Yarrowia lipolytica: one gene and its partners. The protein of the gene in region 2 interacts with the protein of the main gene of each other region in a pairwise test. Links are inferred from orthologs where the notes say so. Each region holds a gene or a part of one and is shown on either strand. Other genes may lie near its edges. The genes, in order: YALI1_E08828g, YALI1_D24941g, YALI1_F08757g and YALI1_B15692g.

Region 1 (7,148 bases), on a different chromosome or scaffold from region 2:
CAAGGTTCCCGTTGGCTCAAATGAAATTGATATTCACGACAGAGCTCAAGCGAGATGATTAGAGACATTGTAGATGATGGGGGGGTCTGAATGGGCGTCACTGCTATGGTTAAAAGACTGACTAATGTGTGATCCAACATTCTATTGTGATACCGCATATATCACCACCGTAGACACCTAGCATTTGCTGCTAAAGCTCTGAGATTACCAGGTCTAGCGAGAGCTTAGTTGCACGTGGAAAATTTAATGATGAACGCTCTTCGCGTGATCGTCTCAAATACTGCCATCCCAGGCACGGTGCATGGATGATGCGAGATTAGGTTCGCGAGAAGTTTAGTTTTGCTGACACGTTTAAACAAAGGGCCAACAAGTGTTTACTTAGAATTATAACTAATTAACAAACAAGCCATTGGCTTAAGTATTATTTAACATTCATTTGCTGAGGGATGTTCAATGAAGAACAGCGAGAACAAGAGAAGCTCCAAGCGACAGCTCAGAAGAGACAGACCAGGGGCTTCGTTAACGAGAGCTGAGACATTAACATCCTCAACAGACAAGTACGTTGGGTAAAGAAACATAAGGCCATTGGTACTGTGCCGTCCTTGGAAATGGTAGACAAGATTCCAGAGTCCTTGAGGCAAGAAAAGCCACCACCGAAGGACTCTGAGTCTGTTTCAAAGTTTGAAAACCAGTCATGTCAAACTACCAGGAGCCTTCAGCAGCCTTGGGTTCAACCTCCAATCTGAGGGATACAGTCGTGAGCGCCAGAGATTGGACTATGAAAATGTGGAGCATCAAGCAGAAAATGCACTCGTGTGCTAAAGAGAAGAAGAAGCATCCACACTCACATTCTCTGACACAAAGTGATACATACATTCGTTCTGGAGAGAGAGTGAGGGTGTGGAAGCTTCCTGAAAAGGATAGGCATGTAGAATACAGCAGTGCCTGTGCACATTTTGCGGGCTGTAAGAATTCTCTCAGAGCAACTGACATCCATGGAGATACCCTTGTGCGGATTCTTGTACAACAGTGCGTGTAGGGATCCTGACTAACCCGGAGAGTGCCAATATGTGCTTGAAGGACATTAAAAGCGTGCGTACGATGTTGCTCATGTCCTCATTACTGTAGAGGTGTATGTTACTCGGGGTTTCCTTATGGGGTTATTCAGAAGTGGAACTTGGACTCTGGCACTTGTTTGTCAGTGCTGGAAGGCTGTAAGCGCATGGTTAATCTGCTGTGTCACGACGAATCCCTGGGTTCGGCATCAATTCATTTCAAAACTGGTGTTTAGAATCCAGGAATCTGGAGAGCTTGTCTACATCAGAGTCCATGGAATATCGTGCATTAGATAACATTAGATTAGTTCCCGTGGAAGAAGTATTCAGTGGTCCTCCGCAGAGGAACTGTCTCGGTCAATTTGGGCAAGGAAGTAGTTTCTCAGCCACTTGTTGTAGTGTCCAACGTCAACGCGGAATATGATAGGCTGTTTGTCGGTATCATAACGAGTCTGATTTATTTAATCGACTGTTACTCAACTATAGGGTTGAATTGAAGATCATGGGTGTTGATGAATTGAAAATGACTTCATGAGAACATGAGCACAGGAGCGTCTGAATGAACAGAAGAGGTCGGACTCCTCAGCACAAGATACAACACAGCACGCACCTGGAGGGACACAGCATATGGTCTCCTTTAATGGATTGACCCCAACACTGTTACACTGGACTTGTCGAAAGAACATTGCTTAACCACATCTCGTGTCTTGCCACTATTTTTCGAAATCGTGTACAGTGAACTTCTTATTTGGTGGCTCTGTGCGTGGGTATGAAGAGATTGTATATAAATATATCAACATTTAATTTGTATAATATAATTTTGTATAATATAATTTTATTATAATATATTGTATAATATTTGCAGTATATTCGATAATATTGGACTGTAATTGTGACTTGTACAGAGGCATGTCCCCTTACAGCAGAAGTTCACCCCCAACACTCCCATTGCAGTGTCAATCTAGAATTTGACATTTTCTATTTCTTTTTTAAAAAAAGGAATAGCCGAGAATCGAAGTGAGTGACACCGCAACCATAATGCCACAGTGGAGACACGATATTGGAATGCCAACAAGTTAAGACTACTACAAATGTAATATACACCAGAATACCATCTCGTATTACCCCAGAAATCTCCCCAAACAGCCCACACCACTATCCACCTCTTCTCCCACCAACCTGATAAACTCGCAGTGCATCAACTCTAATATTTTTTTCAAGTCTTCTGCAAAGTGACAATTGCAGTTGCACGCACCATCTACAAATGTCCGAACTCGACCATACGGAACCGCTGGAGGACAAGCTGGACCGGATCCGCGTCCATGTCAACTCCAAGCTGGCCAACCAGAAACAGTTGGCCATTATTTTGGGAGCCGTGGAGGAGAATCTCGAGGAGGAAAAGACCGAGAAGACCGCCACCTCCTACTTCATTTCTTTCCTTGCTCTGCTAGAGCAATCGTTCAGCCGCCAGGCCCCCGATCAGCTCGAGAATACCGATCTAGCCGCCTCGGCTCTCTATTTCCTCGACCTTGTGTCTCCCTTCGCCAGCGAATCTCTTCTGCGGGCCAAGTTTTCGCAGATTTTCGTCAAGCTCGCACCCGTGTTGGGCTCGTCCGATTCCGAGTCTGCGCTACTCAGATCCGCCATTGGCACTCTGCAGCATCTGCTGCTGGCCCAGGATGCTGCCTCGTGGCAGACCCCTGCTTCTGAGCTGTCTCCCCGACGAGGAGTGGTTGGTCTGATGCATCTGGCCGTCAATCCCCGTCCCAAGATCAGAAAGCGAGCTCTGGACGCACTTGCCAAGATCCTCGAGACCCGAGTATCTCCAGTGCTCGTCGAGCATCCTGCTGCCGCAACCTGTGCCGACACAGCCCTGAAGGCCGTCAAGCAGTACCTGGAGAACCACAAGAAGGAGGATACCGTGGATGCCGGCTTCATGCATGCGCTGGCTCTGGTGAAAACCATCTGTGGCGTTGGAATGTGGCCTATGTCGCAGTTTGACGAACTCTGTCAGCTGCTGCTGTCTATTTCCAAGACTACCAACCAGATGCTGATCCAGGCTACCTTTGGCATCTTTGAGGGTGTCTTTCGTCACTTTGCCAAGTCTGAAGAGGACGAGAACAACAAGACACGAAAATTGCTGGTTATTCTCGATGCTGTGATCGACCAGGCTCCCGCCACCAACGACCAGCATCTTGCTCCTGCCTGGTTTGCTGTTGTTGCCCAGGGAGTGGGTGCTCTTGGAGAGGTCAACCCTGATAAGGGACTGGCCAAGACCCCCGTGGTTTTCCAGAAGGTATGTGCCTATCTCGACTCTGAGGCCGACAGTGTGCGAACCTCTGCTTCCCAGTGTCTCGTTGCTCTGTGTTCTTCCATCAACCAAAAGTCGCTTCAGAACGGCGACAAGTGGCTGTCCAAGCTCGCGGAGATGGCCACGATGCTTCTGTCCGTCCAGACCCGGGCTTCTCTCGTCGACTCTACGAACGTTGTGGCAGCTCTACTCGACACTCTCAGATGGAAGTCCGACCCCTTCCTTGTGGAGGCTGTGACAATTATTGGAGGTCTCCGAACTGAGGAGTCCTTCGTTAACGGCATTCCTGCTCTCGACAACGCTCTTGGGTCCGCTATTCGTGCCATGGGACCTGCCAAAGTGCTAGAACTGCTCCCCCTCAACCTTTCAAACCCCTCTTCTGACAACCCCGGACGAGCCTGGATGCTCCCTCTACTGAGAGACAACATTCACAATTCAGAGATTGCCTTTTTTAAGAGCGAGTTCTTGCCACTGATCGAGTATTTTGACGACAAGATCTCGACTACCAAGGGCGCCACCGCAAAGGTCTTCGAGGCTCTGCTGGCCCAGGTCTGGTCCGTTCTGCCCCGTTTCTGCGCTCTGCCCATGGATCTCCAGCAGTCGTTTGACCAGTCTTTTGCCGAGCTGCTCTCCAACAAGCTCTATTCCAACATTGAGATCCGACCTGTTATCTGCCAGTCGCTGCGTCTGCTTGTCGAGAGCAATGTGGTGTACGCCGAGGAGCCCGAGGCTGCTGAGTCCGAGGATGTGAACGACGACCTGCTGCTTCTGGAGCGATTCCCCCGATCCGAGGCCGAGTCTAACGTTGCCTACCTCGGAACCGTGTCTTCCAAGATTCTTGCGGTGCTCTTCAACGTGTACGGACAAACTATTCCCGAGTCTCGAGGCTTCATTCTCGAGTGCATCAACGCCTACCTCGGCATCACCCCCGCCGGCGAAATTGGCGACATCTTCGATAACGTGTGTGGAATGCTTCACAAGGCTCTGGAGGATGAGGCCAAGGAGTCTAAGCCTGAGAAGGACGCCCTGCCAGCAATGTCGCTCACCATGCTTGACATTCTCATCGCCCTCGTGCCTTACATCCCTGCCTCTTCTCACAACACTCTGCTGACCGTCTTTGTGCAGATGATCCAGAACTCCGACCCCAACCACCAAAAGAAGGGCTACCGTCTTTTGACCCGTCTGGCCGAGGCCGACAACAGCTTCGAGACTCTGGAGAAGCATCTTGACAACATCTGTGGTGTTGTTCTCGAGTCTGCTGAGTCTGTCACTGCTGTGTCTCGAGGCGCTCGAGTGGCCGCTCTGGCGAAGCTGGTGGCTCTGCTGCCCGAGAACGATCTGTATTTCATCCCCGCTACCGTCTCTGAAGCCGTCATTGCCACCAAGGACGTCAACGAGAAGACCCGAACGTCCGCTTACAACTTACTGGTTCTCATGGGCGAAAAGATGGCTCGAGGAGGAGTAATTGACAACACTCGAATCCCCGGTCTCGAGGATGCCGGTCTGGGATCCGTCAACGCCAACCTGACTGAGTTCTTCAAGGCCGTGTCTGCTGGTCTGGCAGGAACCTCACCCAACCTGGTGTCTGCCACCATCACGGGTCTGTCCCGAATCTTGTTCGAGTTCAAGGACGACGTGCCCATGGATATGCTCAGCGAGCTGTCTCAAACCGTTGAGCTGTTCCTGACCTCGCAGAACAGAGAGATCGTCAAGTCGACTCTTGGTTTCGTCAAGATTACGGCCATCTCTCTCCCCATCGATCTCGTGGAGCCCCAGCTCAGCGAGCTTCTCCCAAAGCTGCTGCACTGGTCCCACGAACATAAGGGCCATTTCAAGGCCAAGGTCAAGCACATTGTCGAGCGTCTGATCCGACGGTTCGGCTTCGACACCATTGAAAAGCATTTCCCCGAGGCCGACAAGAAGCTGCTGACCAACATCCGAAAGTCTAAGGAGCGATCCAAGCGAAAGCGAACCGAGGAGAAGGAGGAAGATGCTCCCATGTCGTCTACCAAGCCCAAGAAGGAGTTTGCCTCTGAGTACGAGCGAGCTCTGTACGGAGACTCGGATTCTGAAGACGAGGATGACTATGAGGAGGAGGAGACCACCAAGCGGGCCTCCAAGTACATTATGAAGTCCGACGACCCTCTGGATCTGCTGTCGCAGCAGGCTCTGGCTCACATCACTTCTTCCAAGCCTAGAGGAAAGAAGGAGCCTCTTCTCAAATCGTCCAAGTTCAAGACTAATGAGTCCGGTAAGATGATCTTTAAGGAGGATGAGGAGGAGGACGTGATTCCCCAGGGCTCGGCCATCGACCATTACGTTGAGGCCATCAAGAACGGACCTGTGCGAGGACAGAAGAACAAGTACAAGTATAAGAAGTCAAAGGGAGGAGATGACGACGGAGGAGATGATGACGACGTGGTGCCCAAGCGACCCACCAAAAAGTTTTCTCGAGGTGGCGTGAGCAAACCCAAGGGCAAACCTCAGCAGCGACGAAAGTTTTAATTGAATTGTATTATTGAATGGTTATGAATATATACGGAGATGGTGTACAATATGTAGTGTAGAAGGACTGGGAACTTGACGTAGACATGGTCTGGAAACTTACTGAGAAGCTGATTCCTACACCTGTCGGGGGAGATATTCGTAAAGCCTCGAGGCATACAAAAGTATCGGTACTGTACAGTACATCAAATACCAGTAGTGTGCACACAGAACTTATCGATCCGTTTGCACAGGCACTGCAAGAAGTCGATTTTTTTTTTATTCTAATGATTCGTGTGTATCGTTATTGAGTCTTTGCGACATCGGGGAGTTGAAGTTTGGAGTAGGGGTATGGTTGTTATGTTTTTGAGGTTTTTTTTTTTTTTAGTTTAGTTTTTTTTTTTTTTTTTCTAATGATTTCTTCGTTTTTTCAGAAGTTTTGAAACTACACAGAACCACCCACCTACATCTCAATAAAAAACTTGGGCGTCTGGTGTAAGGACCAAAGTCGCTTATAAGGGCTTGGGGACGGTGCCGGGTCACGTCAAGGGTGACTGTTTTCCCCCCTGGGACGCACCCGGGGGGGAGTATATAAGAAGACATTTATGTATGATTAAAAAAGTGATCACCACCTGTGAACGTATACAGACAGCGAGCAACGGTTAGATTAAGACAGCGGACAATCTACCGACTGAGAATATTCCGCAGATAAGAGACGATCGGAATCTTATATCTGGTGTAGTTGGTTATCACATGCGCTTTAGCATGGCGCGAGGTCCCCGGTTCGATTCCGGTGTCGTCCACTCCTTTTGTGATCACAATGATCTGGTATTTTTTTTTCTACCTACCCATGGCTGTATCAAGTCCTCATATTGGCAAGTCACCACAGATCATATTTTTTTATATCGTAGATAAGGTTGCATATCAATCCCAGTTATCTCAACCTTATTTGTTCCCTCCACTTTACCAATACTTACCGCGACTATTGCAGAGCAACAAACAATCTGCTCCTTCGATTAGCATCTTCATTGTCTTGCACAAACGAACCTACTCTCTTCTACTGCGTCATTACACTACCCTCATCGAATTTTCCACCACCTTCCCCACAGATCATGATCAGGAAGATTGTAGTATTCCTGGTGTGTGGAGCTCTTCTCATTTTAAAGAGCTACATATATGCCTATCATAGGTTCCCTAAACATGACACACTCTCTGTGAAGGAACACGGTGGTACTAACAGCTACAGCCCTGTCATGGAATTGCACAGGAGCCTGGTTGATATCCCTTCCGTGTCATAC
Region 2 (4,200 bases):
GAGACGGTTATTTTGTGGCTTCTCTTTCAGATCAATGGTTTATCAACTTGGTACAACTACTCTACCCATATGGTACCCGTATGTACTAAAGGCACCTGTCTCGACATTTGCAACGGCCTAAAAGTAGAGGATTGAACACCGGGAGTTGTATTAGTCGGGGTGGAAGGTTGAAGTCTGAAGTGTGCAATATGTCGTCGTCTCCAGTTCAAACTGTGCCCATATATTCCCTCTAGTGATAGTCTGTAAGAATCAAATGTGTGTAGCCTGAATAATCTTGTAGGGTTATGAAGACTGATGTAGGAACAGAAGAATAACTACAGGAGAAATAGTTACAGCTACTTGTAGTATCATGAACAAACCTATCAGGAACGAACCTCCCCTGAACAACCTCCCTGTTTATGGCTTTTATGGCTTTTTATTTGGTCCTGACCATTCTACATATAAGCACGAGGAATATTTACATCACACTCCCTGTTACGACAAGACGTTGATATCGCATAGCAAGTGAGGAAGAGAAGCCCAGTGAAGTAAACTGCTGTATCTGAATGTGATAACGTCGTCTCGAAAAGTGACTGCAGTATGTACTTGTAGCTCAGAATTTTTATATATACAAGTACAAACTGTAGCAAGTGTATACTTGTGTAAGCTGAGAACACCTGGTTAAACAGTTGTTGCCAATAGTATATACAGCCTTAGGAAGTATTGATGTATTGATGTAAAAAAAAATAGAGTACAAGTACAAGTACTCCCACTTGTACTTGTACTTGTACAGTTGATTCATATATACTACAGATATCCCATCCAACAACTCGTTGATTACTCTATATACCCGTTCCACCTTCAAGATCAAATTGTTGTTCATATGTATGATTGATTAGATATAGTCAATGGAACGCCTTACAGCCCACTTCTGAGAACACCACGTCCGAGAGTAGCACAAACCAGAAGGGTGTGGGCTTGCTCATTCGTCAGAAAGAGATTCTGACAGACATCTCGTCAATTACCGTCAATTACCTTCAAACTTCAAAAGATGCTGTACCTCTTGAAATACTCCCGGAATCACAACTACCGTCCTCGTCTCCCCTCATCCCTCCAGATAAACAAATGCATATAGTATATACCTCCCGATAATTAAGCAAAGCTGACGCTCTTCTTCTTGGAATTTCCCTTGCCCTCCTCCTTCTTCTTGAGCTCCTCCATCTTCTTCTGCACTTTGTCAGCACTCTTGCCTCGGCTGGTCTTTTTGATTTCCTTCTTCTTCTGCTCGATCTCGGCCTCCTTCTCAGCCTCTCGCTTCTCAATCTCCTTTCGCTTCTGCTCTCGGATCATCTCCAGCTGACGGGCCTTTTCCAGCTTACTGGCGTTTCGAGAGTCAATCTTCTCGTTGACAATGCTAACTAACAGGTTCATTTGGTCGTTATCCACAAACTTCTTGCCCTTCTTGCCTCTCAGTGCCTTCTTGGCTCCCTCGGGATCGATGGCCGTGTTCAATTTGGGGATTCCCAGTTCCTTTTCTGTGTACACTCGGGCCTTCTTGACCTTGGGCTTGCCGTTGTCTTTGGGCTTGGCCACCCGGTTCTTGAACTTGCGGGGCTGCTCGTTGGCGTTGTCGTAGTTTTTCGAGGTGTGTGCGAGCTGGTTTCGAGCCTTTTTGTCGCCGAAAACCTCACTCTTGACCTCTCGCGCGCCGGCGTTCTCCTTTCGAAATCGTTTGGGGACCATGGCGTGTGTATGAGATGTATAGGTCTGGTGCTCTGGTCGAGAATCGAAATCTACGGCTCGTGCATGCACAATTTTTTTAAGGTTGGAATAATTTTATGAAGATAATGTATGTGGCGTGAAGAGTTTGTGTGTTCAATTCCGATAGATGCGATTAAAGAAATTTACTTTGTAATTATGTCAATTGGTAAACCAAGACCAATCTGCTAGTCTAGATACCAAGCGTAGACGGTATGGCAACCGCCCTCGATCCCCTTGACATACGCCCATCCTTCGTCCATCTCGAGATTCAACAGATTCACATTGACACCATTGACAGTCATCTTCAGCTGCTTACCGAGAATGAGAGGGACACAAATTTCGCCAATAGTCCCTGGAGTAGACTTTACTGCAATCTGGAGCAGGTTCTTCGAGTCCCGCTTCCACCCTCCAACGAGATACCCTGTCTTGGCCGAAGTAAACCCAGTAATGCAGAAATCCAAATCAGCCAGAGTAGGCTGAAGAGTCCAGGTCACGTGGTTGGGGTTGGTGAAGCGCAGTCCACAGATTTTGTAGCTGAGAAAGCTCGTGGGACCTGTAGACCAGGGGTGGCTGTGGCTGATGTAGCTGCTGTCATGCTTATCGGACGGATAAGAGCAGGTTCCGTCCTTATAGAAGCCCTCCACAAGACTGGATTTGACACTCCAGGGCGCAGACAGAGCGTAAGACCAGGTCTGGCGAATAAGAGCTAGTGCTCTAAGGGTTCTTCCAGCTTGGTGATGAGCCATAACCTCAATACCACTGATAAATGTGCTGATCATGCCGTTACTCTCAGGGTTGATAGGTCCAAATTGGTTCCAACGAGCAAAGAGCCTCTCAGAAACAGTCTTTGACCGTTCACCATCACACACCCCATAGTAAATTACCAGGCAGTTGCCATCTTGGGGGTAGAGTGTTGACGAGAGGTTATCTTTGAAGAGACCTTTCTCTGCGTCCCAGAGCAGCTCGTTGATACGCACGTGCAGACTCTCAGCGGTATTGATCCAGATAGCTAGTTGAGCTTCAGGCTCTCCCAAGAGGTTGCCAATCTCGACCGAGCACACTAAGCAGGCATAAAGAAGCACGTTCAAAGAAAGAGAATGACCCTGAAGTACAGACCGGCCCCAATCAAGACCACAAACAATCTTGGCCAGTCCGTAGTCAGAGTCGATCCAGCTCATACCCAGTTCCACTCCCTTTTTGAACGGAACCCATAATTCTCGCACTCGCTGGAAATCTCCACTGTGTTGCCACAGCTCATACAAGCCCAGTAACCCCCACAAGTGGAAGGTATCGGAGCCGTAAAGATCAGCAGGCTTGCAAGCGTAAGGAAGACGTCCATCAGGCTGTTGGCCCGCAAAAATCCAATCAATTGCAGTTGCGGTGGCAGCCGAATTGACACCTCCGAAAGCACAGTGGTAAACTGAAGTGCTAATGAGCCGATCACCAGACCAGACGCTACGGTCTCGCTTTGCACCGTCAGTAAGCACCTCCAGGCCCTGACTTACATGACCAGAATTGTCCCATCCACGAGATTTGACGACGTAGTCACTCTTGCGACCCTGGACTGACGATATGGTCGCAAGCTGGATAGTGTAAGCTCCAGCGTACCAAATTTTGTTCAGCAGAGGATCACTGGAGTGGAAAAACCCAGAGTATTTGTTGAGGGAGGCAGAAGAAGGCATCTGGGTCATTTTGCAAGACACAGATGTCACATGTGCAATGCAGTCACGGGTTTTGCTCGCTACAAACACTGTCAGGTATCTAAATGCTCCTCTCAGCTTCTCCACAGGCATTGTGTATTCGGAGATGCCTGGGTATACCTCGACAGTCACGTGGCCATCGGTGACCTTGAAGTCGACAGATTTGTCCGAGTTTCTGCCAACGAAATCGCTTGATTCGGAGAAGGCGAGTCCCAGAATTGTCTTTGAGCTTCTGGGTCCAAATTTGAGAGTGACGACGCCACAAATGTTTTGGCCGAAATCAAACGTGATGAGACTATCAGCGGAGGTAAAGAGACAGGAGCCAAGATTGGTGTCACGAGAGGAATTGTTTTTGGGACTGTGGAACGTGTGGAAGCTCTGGGGGGAGGGTTGATCGCGCGGTTGGCAGAGGGAAGGTGCTCCTGCTACAGTTCCCTCTGTTTTGTGGATTCTCACTGGGAAGGCTGTTCGGGTAGCTGGGGAGATGTTGTTTTGTTGCCAAGGTTGGTCCGAGGGTGTTGCTTGGAACACGAGCTCGGAGAAGGTCTTTGCTTTGTACATTGTCCTGGAGTCCGAGTGAATCAAGTGTCAATTGGATAGAAAAGGACCCTTAGGAGCGAGTAGTGTCGACGTGGCTTTCTTGAGAAGATGACAACCGAATTGACGACAAGAATGGATGTAATTCGCAGATCGAAGATAGTCTGCAAGTAACGAGCGGGTTCAATAGTGATGTTAGTACTGTAGCGAGAGTCGAGGGTAC
Region 3 (5,217 bases), on a different chromosome or scaffold from region 2:
GCTCGTAGACCGCATGCAGCTCGGGATGTGTGCCCTTGACACAGAGCCCCATTTCCACCTCAAACGCCGCCAGCTTCTCCTTGAACATAAAGTCGCGGAGCTTGGCGAAATCGACCTCGATCTCGGCGAGAGACGTCATGGCCGCAGGCCGCATGTCGACCTTGTCTGCGTCTGCGGGAGAGTCTTCCTTGTCATTGTCGTCGCCTTCGCCTTCCTCGTCGCCCTCGTCTTCCACCTCCTTTTCCTCGTCTTCGTCTTCGTCTTCGTCTTCGTCTTCGTCTTCATTCTCCTCCTTGTCCTTGTCCTCCTTGGTCACCTCCTCCTCTTTATCTTCCTCGTGTTCATTGTCGGAGGGCTCAGTCTGGTTGATGGGCGTAGGCATATCCTTGGTTTCGTTGGCGTCCTTATTGTCGACATCAGCCGTTTCTGATTCCTTGAGCCCCTCCTTGGCCTCGGCCTCCTTAGACTCATCCACAGCCTCTCCTTCCTTCTCAGAGATATGATTCACCTCAGGCTTGATGTCCTCAACAGGCACGGGCAAGGGAGGCGGTACTTCCTCGAGAGCCGAGGCAATGGCACTGGCAGTGATGAGCCCGGTGTCAGGACCCACATCTCCACCTTCTCCTTCTGCCTTGGCTGTGGTATCCACATCCATTCGGGCCGTTGTGTCTTCTTCTCCAATGTCATCATTTTCGTCGGTTTGACCATTAACTTTGGCCCGCTTAATATCTCTGTCATCCTCCTCATCGCGTTCACGCTTCATCTGCCGGATGTGGTCTTCCGACGACGATTCGCGCCGGCGCTTGAACGACTCTTCCTCTTCGTCGACCAGATCGTTGAGATAGAGCCGTTCGGTTTCGGCCTCGGAGTCCTCGAGTTCCGAGAGCTCGGACGAGTCGTCGCTGAGGTCCGCGGGGTTGAGCAGACTTGCTTTTCTGCCGTTGGACGTGGGCAGCGGCATGTCGTCTGTGGAGACAATGCTCGCGACCGTGGCAATACCCGAGTCGGCGTGCTCGGGATGCGTCACGGAGCCCTTGTCGCCCGCCGATTGTGTGTCTGTAGCTGTAGGTGGGGCTGTGGCCGTAGCCGTGGCCGAGGTTGCGGTTGCTCCTGTCGATGGAGACGGAGAAGAACGGGTCTTCTTGTCAGTTGGTGTGTGTGTGTCTCCGTTTGTGCCTGTGTCGTGGTCCTCTGCCACGTCATCCTTCAGCTCCTTGGCTTCGTCCTCATCGTGCTGCTGCAGGTCCAGCATGGCCTCGGAGTCGAGCTCGGATAGCGGAGACGTGACCATGTCGTCGTCGTTGGCGGTCATCAATTGGGTCGGTGTCGGGTTAGCGGCGTGCTCGCTTCCGGGTCTTGTAGAGAGCTAACACGTGACCTGTCGTTCTTTTCTCGGTCACCGTCGTCGCTCGGGTGTCGTGTGGTAGTGAGTGAGTGAGAAGAGAGAGAGTAGTGTAGTGGAGCTGCCGACTATGTTTTTTACTGTTGATAACAACGCAAGTCTTTTCCACCATGCACCAAACCCAGCTAAGTTTGGTGCGCATACAAGACGTGCGGAGAGGAGCACGTTATGGGAGAGAGAGTCGACAGAGGGCGAATAGTGCACATGCTGGGCCAACCAGGTTCCCAGAAGGGCTGTCTGGTGGTTCTGACAACTCGATTGACCGGCTTTTTGTCGTCTCCTCCCCTCTCATCACCACCGTATGGAGTCCCTGCAATCGTCTTCTTTTTTTTTCCCTTTTTTTCCTTCTTTTTTTCTCCCCTTAAAATACAACCATCATCCCCCGCCAAATCCACGCCCTACCTTGCTCCCATTTACACACACGATCATACCCAACCATGCCTCCCACCACATCCCAGGGGATAATCGACGTCAGATGATCGCCGGAAAGCCACCATGGACTCCAATCGACCGTCGCTCGTCGGTGTCGAAATTTGGCGCCGTTCCGTCCAGCCAATCTTCATATAATCGCCCCTCAGCCCCCCCTGGCAGCCGTGCCCCCACTGCCGTCGTATGTATGCAGAGCCACTCATTGGTTGACGGGACAGCGGCGCGTGTCAGAGGGTGGTGGAGAAGTGAGTCAGGACTGTGGTTAAGAAACGCGTCAAGGCTGAGGTTGTCGAAAGCTGGCACCGGAGGTTGATGATTGATGGCTTGGGTTGGATCGTGTTTAGAGGAGGAGATGCATAGGTTATGAGTATTGCTATTTGTGTCAGATTATGACCTCCTTGAGCCTTGCTAACGAATATAGTGGGGATACAACTGAGACGCCTGGGTCCCTTGGCCAAACTGGCGACCGGCTCTCTTTTATTCTAGCCGTAAATCGAGAGAGGGCTAGTTGTACTATTACACTGGACGCCTCCCACACAACCTTTATATGGTGTACATGTCTCATGCAAAGTTTGAATTTTTTTTGGCAAGAGTTTGAACAGAACAAGTGAGCTCAATCATTTGACCATCCAGCGACAATGACCACCACAAAAGACAACTCCGGACTCGCCGCGCTCTTTGCCAACTCCAGTGGTCCTCGTCAGAAGCCTCAGCGCGCTGGCAAGGTCGACCCGGTGCGTGACCAGCAAGAGGATAAGATGGAAGTAGAGGATGAAGAGGAGGATGAAGAGGAGGACGAAGAGGACGAAGAGGAGGATGAGGAGGATGAGGAGGATGAGGAGGAGAAGGAGGAGGACGACGACGACGACGACGACGAAGAGGAGATCGAAGAGCCTGTTATCAAGAAGAGCAAGAAGAACAAAAAGTCCAAGGAGGAGTCGGCCGACTTGGAGGATCAGTACATGGCCAAGTTGGCCGAGGAGGTGGCCGAGGAGAAGCCCATGGTCGCAGAGACCTCCGCGGAGGAAATCAAAGTCGATGAGCCCGAATCCGATTCTGAGGACGAACCCGAGCTGGACGTGGACGAAGAGACCAAGAAGAAGCTGGAGGCCACCAACAAGGAGCTGGACAAGGCCGACTACACCATTTTTGTCGGCAACGTGTCGTCCGAGGTGATCACCGACAAGACCGTGTACAACAACTTCAAGGCTCTGTTTGCGGCCATTGGAACCGTGGCGTCTGTGCGGTTCCGGTCCATCTCCTTCTCCAAGCTGCTTCCTCGAAAGGTGGCTTTCATTTCCCAGCAGTTCCACTCCAAGCGAGACACGGTCAACGCTTACATTGTGTTCAAGAACGTCAAGTCCGTCAAGGGCGCTCTGACGCTCAACGGCTCGGTTTTCAAGGGCTTCCACATGCGAGTCGACTCCGTGGCCCATCCCGGCGCCCAGGATCACAAGCGGTGCGTGTTTGTGGGAGCTCTGGACTTTGAGGAGCAGGAGGAATCCCTTTGGGAGGCCTTTTCGTCTTGCGGTGATGTGGAGTACGTGCGAATTGTGCGGGACCCCAAGACCAACGTTGGCAAGGGGTTTGCATACGTGCAGTTCAAGGACGTCAACTCGGTTGAGCAGGCTCTGCTGCTCAACGGTAAGGGCATCAACGAGCTCTCCAAGTCCACCACTAACAAGCGCAAGCTGCGTGTGTCGCGGGCCAAGAGCCAACACTCCCAGGAACGGGCCAAGCAGGCCGACATGAAGAACATTCGAAACGCAAAGACCGAAGGCCTGTCCCGAGACGAAAAGTCGCACTTTGGCCGGGCCCAGTCGCGGCTAGGCAAGGCCGGCAAGGCTCAGCTACAGTCCATTGTACAGGAGGGTCTGCGGGCTAAGAAAGAGGACGGCAAGGTCAACCTGGCCCGAAGCAAGCGACGAGGAGTCAAGCCCAACAAGAACCGAGTCGAGAAGCCTGGCCAGTCCAGAGCCGAGAAGCGAAAGGCCATGTTTGGAACCCCCACCAACGGCGCTCCCGGAGCTGGCGGCAAGAAGAAGCGTCTTACAACCCGATCCCAGAAGTTCAAGCAGGATGGAGGTGTCAAAAAGGACGGAGACGCCAAGAAGGATGGCCCCAAGAAGGAGAGGGATGGCTCCAAGAAGGGTTCCAAGAAGAACTAATTGGGTAGAGGTTGTATAGGTGAAAATAAATAGGCATTAGATTATTGTATTGTATTGGGGAGTAGGGTGGCAGTAGGGTAGCAGTTGAAGAGTTATATAAGAGTGTGGGGTTTACAGATGTGGTGATGGGGGAGTTTGTAATAGAATCACCATGTAATTCTCATCATAATGGTCATCTCTTCCAACAACACCATGAATCTCAGCTTGGATGCTAGAGGACGCAATAACGGGAGATGAAGAGTCGTCCGAGTACGGGCAGGTCCATGTTCAAGATTAGAAAGGTTTCTTTCCTGTTTCAGAGTCCTACTTTATCTCTCCCTCGAATTAACCACTACCTGGAACGTTGAGATTATCAAGTAATTGTCAAGTAAATTATCAACTACAAGGACATTATTGTTACTGGAAAAATCAGCATGAAAGCCACCCATATCCATGGTTCATACAAGTACAGTACTTTCATCGTATACGCCTCAAGAGATACCATAAATCACATGACTTCCACCGCCTGCCACCCTCCACGAAATCACGTGCCATATACCCCTTCCGTATATCCGATGTAACTGAATAACGGTATGTCCATGCTGTACTTGTACTGGTAGTCGAACTGTAGATCTTGTGGGTAAGATTTTGGTGGCGAACAAGACCATCACAATGAGACCAGAAAGAACCATTGACTGGGTACAAGTACAAATACAAGTATAAGTTCTTGGGGCGAGGCTCATCACGTGACACACCCGCGCTATATCATTCCCGTGTCACGTGACAACGCCGGGTTCCCGCAGCTCATCCGCTCCATCCGGGACCCACCTCAGGAGGAGTTTGTAATTTCCGGAGTTCGGAGTCCGTGCTTAAAAATAGCACGCTGTAAGATAACCGCGTGCATCCACACAGCCACAGTGCGAAGTGTGAGGATCAATCAGTCTGAAAAAAAAGGGGTTCAATGAATGTGAGAGCAATTTTAGAAGAGATTGGGGGGTCTTTTGGGGCTGTGAAATACAACTCCGCTTTTATTTGGCCCCCAAAATGGGACTAAACGGCCTCATCACGACCCTTCTCTTCTCCCCTTCCATATCACACGACTTGCACCGATAACGCAATCCCCACCCTTTGCAACCTAAAAAAAGAGTGCCGTGTAACCACAAAGGTCTCGCGTCTGTTGTTTATATATAGCGTAGGGTCCGACTTTGGCGACCACCAAATAGTTTGCCCTTCTTCTTT
Region 4 (4,214 bases), on a different chromosome or scaffold from region 2:
ACACTTCTGACATCGAGTTTACAGATACCCCTTCTGTGACCCGACTCACGACATCTTCCAACCCCTCATCCCCTCCACTACCCAACTCAATCACACCCTTTTCCTTCTTCACCTCCACAGATTGTCTTACACTCCCTAGCTCAGTGAGGGCAGCCTTGAGACCCGTAATCCTAGCCATCAGACCCTCAAACTCATCTTCGAATTTCTTCTCTTCCTCCTTGATCTGTTCATTCAATCGCTTGTCTAAGTCTTCGAAGTCCTTCAATTTGGCTTGAAGACCGTCAAGGAGGCTGTGAGCACTCTTGATCTCATTAACAACTTCGTTCTTCTCGTCTCTAAGAGGTTTCAATCGTATGTCGAGCTCTCTCCTCTGGGTCGACAGCTGCTGTTTGTGTTCTTCCAGCTCTTTTTCGAGAAACCCGAGAGCAATGTTTCGTGTTGACGTGACAGGTCGAGTGGCCATTCGATTGTCTCAATGATGTATCTGTTGTATCTAGGTTGTATATGTGAGTCTGGTCGTATTGGCGGACGTTTATATATTAAATGGTGGCACGGCCTAAGTGCCTCTGCTTTATTTACAGTGTGCCTTTTGTGTCTTTATCTTACGCTTGTTCGACGGTTAGTTACGCACACATGTCGATGTATCGTAAACACGACTTCTCAAGTGACATGTATGGATGTACTGTAGTGAGGATATACGATGCAGCAACATCAATTGTGAGTCTTCATATCTGACGAGTCTTCCCTGTATCTACCATTCTAGCTGTAACACTCCACAGAACAATACAGCCATTCCCAGTACCAGTAACAAGCCATATAGCCAAAGCTGCTACAAGTAAGAGTTGGTACTCCTCTACTGTCTATCAATCAAATTCATCATATCTATTAATGTACCTTTTCCTAGTCGGTCCGTACAGCCAGTCGACTCTATTATCAGTATCCTTCGCTCGAGCTATGCTGCTGCTCTCTAATACCCGCTCAATCTTGCACTTCTAGCCATTGGCTTACTTGAAAATCACAGAGTCAGCGAGAGGGTCAGCAGCAATAACAGCATCTCTGACCTTGACCTTTCGCTTGAAGGCAGCCTCGGCTCGGCTGGCGGCCTGCTCAGCGGCCTGCTGCTTCATCTGCGATCGGACAGTGTTAGGGGACACATACTGCTTGTTCTCGAAAATTACGGGGCCTCCAAAAGAGCCCTCAAGCATGGTGATGAGAGTCATGACAAATCGGGGACCAATCTCAACCAGAGAAATGTCGGTCTCTCGGGGGTTTTCTTCGTTGACAGTCTCCTGGATCTGGTAGTTTCGGAACCAGACCTTGTTGTCCACCAGCGAAAAGGTGAAGACGTGGTCGAAGAAGGGCTTGGACTTTCTGGCACCCTTGGGGACACCAAAGGTCTGCGTCAGCATCTCCTTGATCACGGCATTGTGAGGGGTGTCGTCAAAGCTGCTGTCGAAGGACAGAATAGGTCGAGATCCTCGCAGACAGTTGCCGGTGAAGTTGAGCTCGTCCATGGTATGCAGGTTCTGGATGTGGAACTTGGCGGTGGGACCGTTGGGAGCCTTGGCCATCCACATGTACAGATCCATATGCTTTCGGGCCTCAAAGTACAGAATGTTGTTGCAGTTGTACATCTCAGCAATCTCGTTGAGTTGGTACAACTTGGACTTGGTGTCGAGCTTGGACTCCTTTCGACCATGGGGAAGCATGGTCTGGAGATCGCTGATGAGATGTCTTTGTCGGAAGGTCACTCCTCGAGAAGTGATGATCAGCACTCGCTGCTTGTTGGTCACTCCATCGTCCTTCTTCTCGGTCTTCTCGGGCTTAGAGCTCTCGCCGCTCAAGGTCTTGTATAGTGTCGACATTGTGTGTGTAGTGTGTGTGTTGTGTGTGTGATGCTATACTGATTGGGATTTTATTTTCACGATTCATGCAGAAATATTTTTTAGGGTTAAACTCAAAATCCTTGAAGTGTGTCTTGAAACTTGGTGATGAATCCTTCATTTTGGTACAAGGGTAGATTTTGAATATATGCAAGAAAAAGACTTCTATTCTTTTGTAAGCTGGTCTTTCATTGGCTATACTTCAATTATTCAACTTTAGCGCTCATTTTGCCACCTGGAGGTGTGCAATTGTGCTGAATTTGAAAGCACAGCAGTCAGCATGTATGTTAGCTACAGTTATCAAAAGAACTGAACATTTACTCTACAAGTACAAGTTCAAGTATTTGTAACTACAAATTTTGATTAAAATCATGAGATGATTCAGCAACAAGCATCCCTGGTCAATTGCACAAACGAAGCGCTCTTTTCATCCATCATACCCAATGTCTGCGCAGCGTGCTCGCTCAAATTTCAAGACTCATATCGAGTCTAGTCGGAACACCAGAGTTGGGTTGGGGACGATGTATGTCCAGGTACCCTGCTCATACAAGTACAGTATATCCTAGGTGCAAAAAAAGAAGGTATTTGTCTTATATACCGGTACTAGCACATGTGAATCTATGTTTAGTCTCAAGTATATTCATTAACATGCCCTCAATCGTTTCTGTTTACTTTCAGATACTCCTTTGGTGCCTATGGTTCCACAGAATCCACAATGATACTGTAGAAGGGGACTACGTGAAGTAGAATAAAACCAGCTTTTCTGGAAACTTGTCTGTTCTATCACCTGTTGGTCATGTCAGTTTCCGCGTTCTTCACACCCACCCCCCTAATAATACAACACAATAAAATCATTGAAACAAGAGCGATGCGACCCTCAGTCCAGCAAACCACTCTGGAAATATTGAGAAACAAAAGACCTACAGTAATACAATTGTGGCATCTATAGAATAGGAAATTTAATATGTGCAACTGTCCATTCTCTCGACCTGTACTTCTACACGATTGTCAAAAGATATTATCATAGTCTACAGTAATTTATACAGATTGAAAGAGGGTCATTCAAATATGGAAGCTGGTGGTCAAAGATCATCCCCAGTCACTCTCTTCTACCTTCTAAAAGATGGTGGAACCGTTGGCAAGACCTCCGTAGAGCCAAGTACCTTCAAACTTGCGCCCTCTCTCCAGATCTCGACGTCCAATATTGAGAGTGCATAAAGAGATCCAGTCAAAGTAGGCCAGGTGGTTCTTGACAATGTCTAACCGAGCAAGAGCGTTAAAGTCCTTTCTGTAACAGCTCATACTCTCGGGACCGGCACAAGAGAAGACCTTGTTCAGAGGAGGCTGGACAGTGAAGTAATCAATGTAGATTTCTCCCACAGAGTGGACATAGTCCTTGAAAGCGGGGAATCCTACAAACAGATCGTTCCAGTGAGTCAGTCGGAAGTAACGTCTATCAGAATCCATGCTGAGACCATCTCCTTCGCCAAACCACTGCTTGGAGACAAAATTGGCAAAGTTGGCGTTTCCAATACGAGGCTGACCATAGGTGTAAAGATAGGGATCCTGACCGTTCACCTTGAGACTTGTAGCAGAAAGTACCGCAATAGCAGCACCCAGAGAATGACCAGTAACAACCAATCGATAGTCAGGGTTGCTGTTAACGTGATCAGCCAGCTTGTCTCCAATAATGCCCATGGTCTCATTGTAAGCCTTGTTCCAGCCGTCGTGAATAGTGCATCCCTCGCAGAGGTTTGCAGTCGATCCTAGGGCAGAAGGAGTGACGAGAAAGGGGCTTTGGGACAGTTGGATGTCGGTGTAGACGTCTCCGATGTCGTAGGTTCCTCGGTAAACCACATACTTCTCTTTCTTGACATGGTCAATAGAAAGAAATCCGGTGATGGAGGTTTCGAAAAACTCACCTCCAAACACTTCGACCAGCTCCATGTTAGGAAAGTGAGAGCATGCTACTCCGCAAGAGAAGTCAGATTTCAAAGACTCCAATGGAGTATTGATACAGTAGGCAACATTGGAGAGGTGGGAGAAAGTCAGGGCAGTGTCGTAAAAGTCCTGAGAGATGGGGGCAGTGGCTGTAAGGGGAGAAGGAGCAACGGTTCCAAAAAGAACTCTGGAGAACCATTCTCCAATGACTGTAGATAGAACCATTGTAGTTGTAGGTGAGTTGAGTTGTAAGGACCACTTACATCGATGTATTTATACTTGACAGTGCGGGTCGGAGGAAGTTCGGTTCGGGCCAGGTCTGCCAAGTTGACTGTTACTACGCTAATGCAATCATAAGGAGAACTGTAGCTAATTCACCGTTGCAGTTAG

What was found.
Region 1: the proteins of YALI1_D24941g (region 2) and YALI1_E08828g interact in binary tests that used the Saccharomyces cerevisiae proteins (3 or more experiments, as listed by UniProt). The link is inferred for Yarrowia lipolytica from reciprocal best matches to the Saccharomyces cerevisiae genes LOC1 and RRP12.
Region 3: the proteins of YALI1_D24941g (region 2) and YALI1_F08757g interact in binary tests that used the Saccharomyces cerevisiae proteins (3 or more experiments, as listed by UniProt). The link is inferred for Yarrowia lipolytica from reciprocal best matches to the Saccharomyces cerevisiae genes LOC1 and NOP12.
Region 4: the proteins of YALI1_D24941g (region 2) and YALI1_B15692g interact in binary tests that used the Saccharomyces cerevisiae proteins (3 or more experiments, as listed by UniProt). The link is inferred for Yarrowia lipolytica from reciprocal best matches to the Saccharomyces cerevisiae genes LOC1 and BRX1.

Annotation. Positions count from the first base shown.
Region 1 is NC_090774.1:878,042-885,189, reverse strand, and holds YALI1_E08828g (uncharacterized protein), read left to right. Parts: upstream 1-2,319; coding exon 2,320-5,871; downstream 5,872-7,148. Other genes in the region: YALI1_E08782g (uncharacterized protein), read left to right, coding at 6,963-7,148. UniProt on the Saccharomyces cerevisiae protein: In association with GSP1, required for nuclear export of both pre-40S and pre-60S ribosomal subunits. Required for the late maturation of the 18S and 5.8S rRNA of the pre-40S ribosomes and for maturation of the 25S and 5.8S rRNA of the pre-60S ribosomes.
Region 2 is NC_090773.1:2,491,605-2,495,804, reverse strand, and holds YALI1_D24941g (uncharacterized protein), read right to left. Parts: upstream 1,723-4,200; coding exon 1,132-1,722; downstream 1-1,131. Other genes in the region: YALI1_D24918g (uncharacterized protein), read right to left, coding at 1,926-4,001. UniProt on the Saccharomyces cerevisiae protein: Required for efficient assembly and nuclear export of the 60S ribosomal subunit. Involved in asymmetric localization of ASH1 mRNA.
Region 3 is NC_090775.1:873,238-878,454, forward strand, and holds YALI1_F08757g (uncharacterized protein), read left to right. Parts: upstream 1-2,469; coding exon 2,470-3,999; downstream 4,000-5,217. Other genes in the region: YALI1_F08745g (uncharacterized protein), read right to left, coding at 1-1,312.
Region 4 is NC_090771.1:1,566,908-1,571,121, reverse strand, and holds YALI1_B15692g (ribosome biogenesis protein BRX1), read right to left. Parts: upstream 1,866-4,214; coding exon 1,005-1,865; downstream 1-1,004. Other genes in the region: YALI1_B15706g (uncharacterized protein), read right to left, coding at 1-463; YALI1_B15703g (uncharacterized protein), read left to right, coding at 640-721, 764-996; YALI1_B15670g (uncharacterized protein), read right to left, coding at 3,000-4,049. UniProt on the Saccharomyces cerevisiae protein: Required for biogenesis of the 60S ribosomal subunit.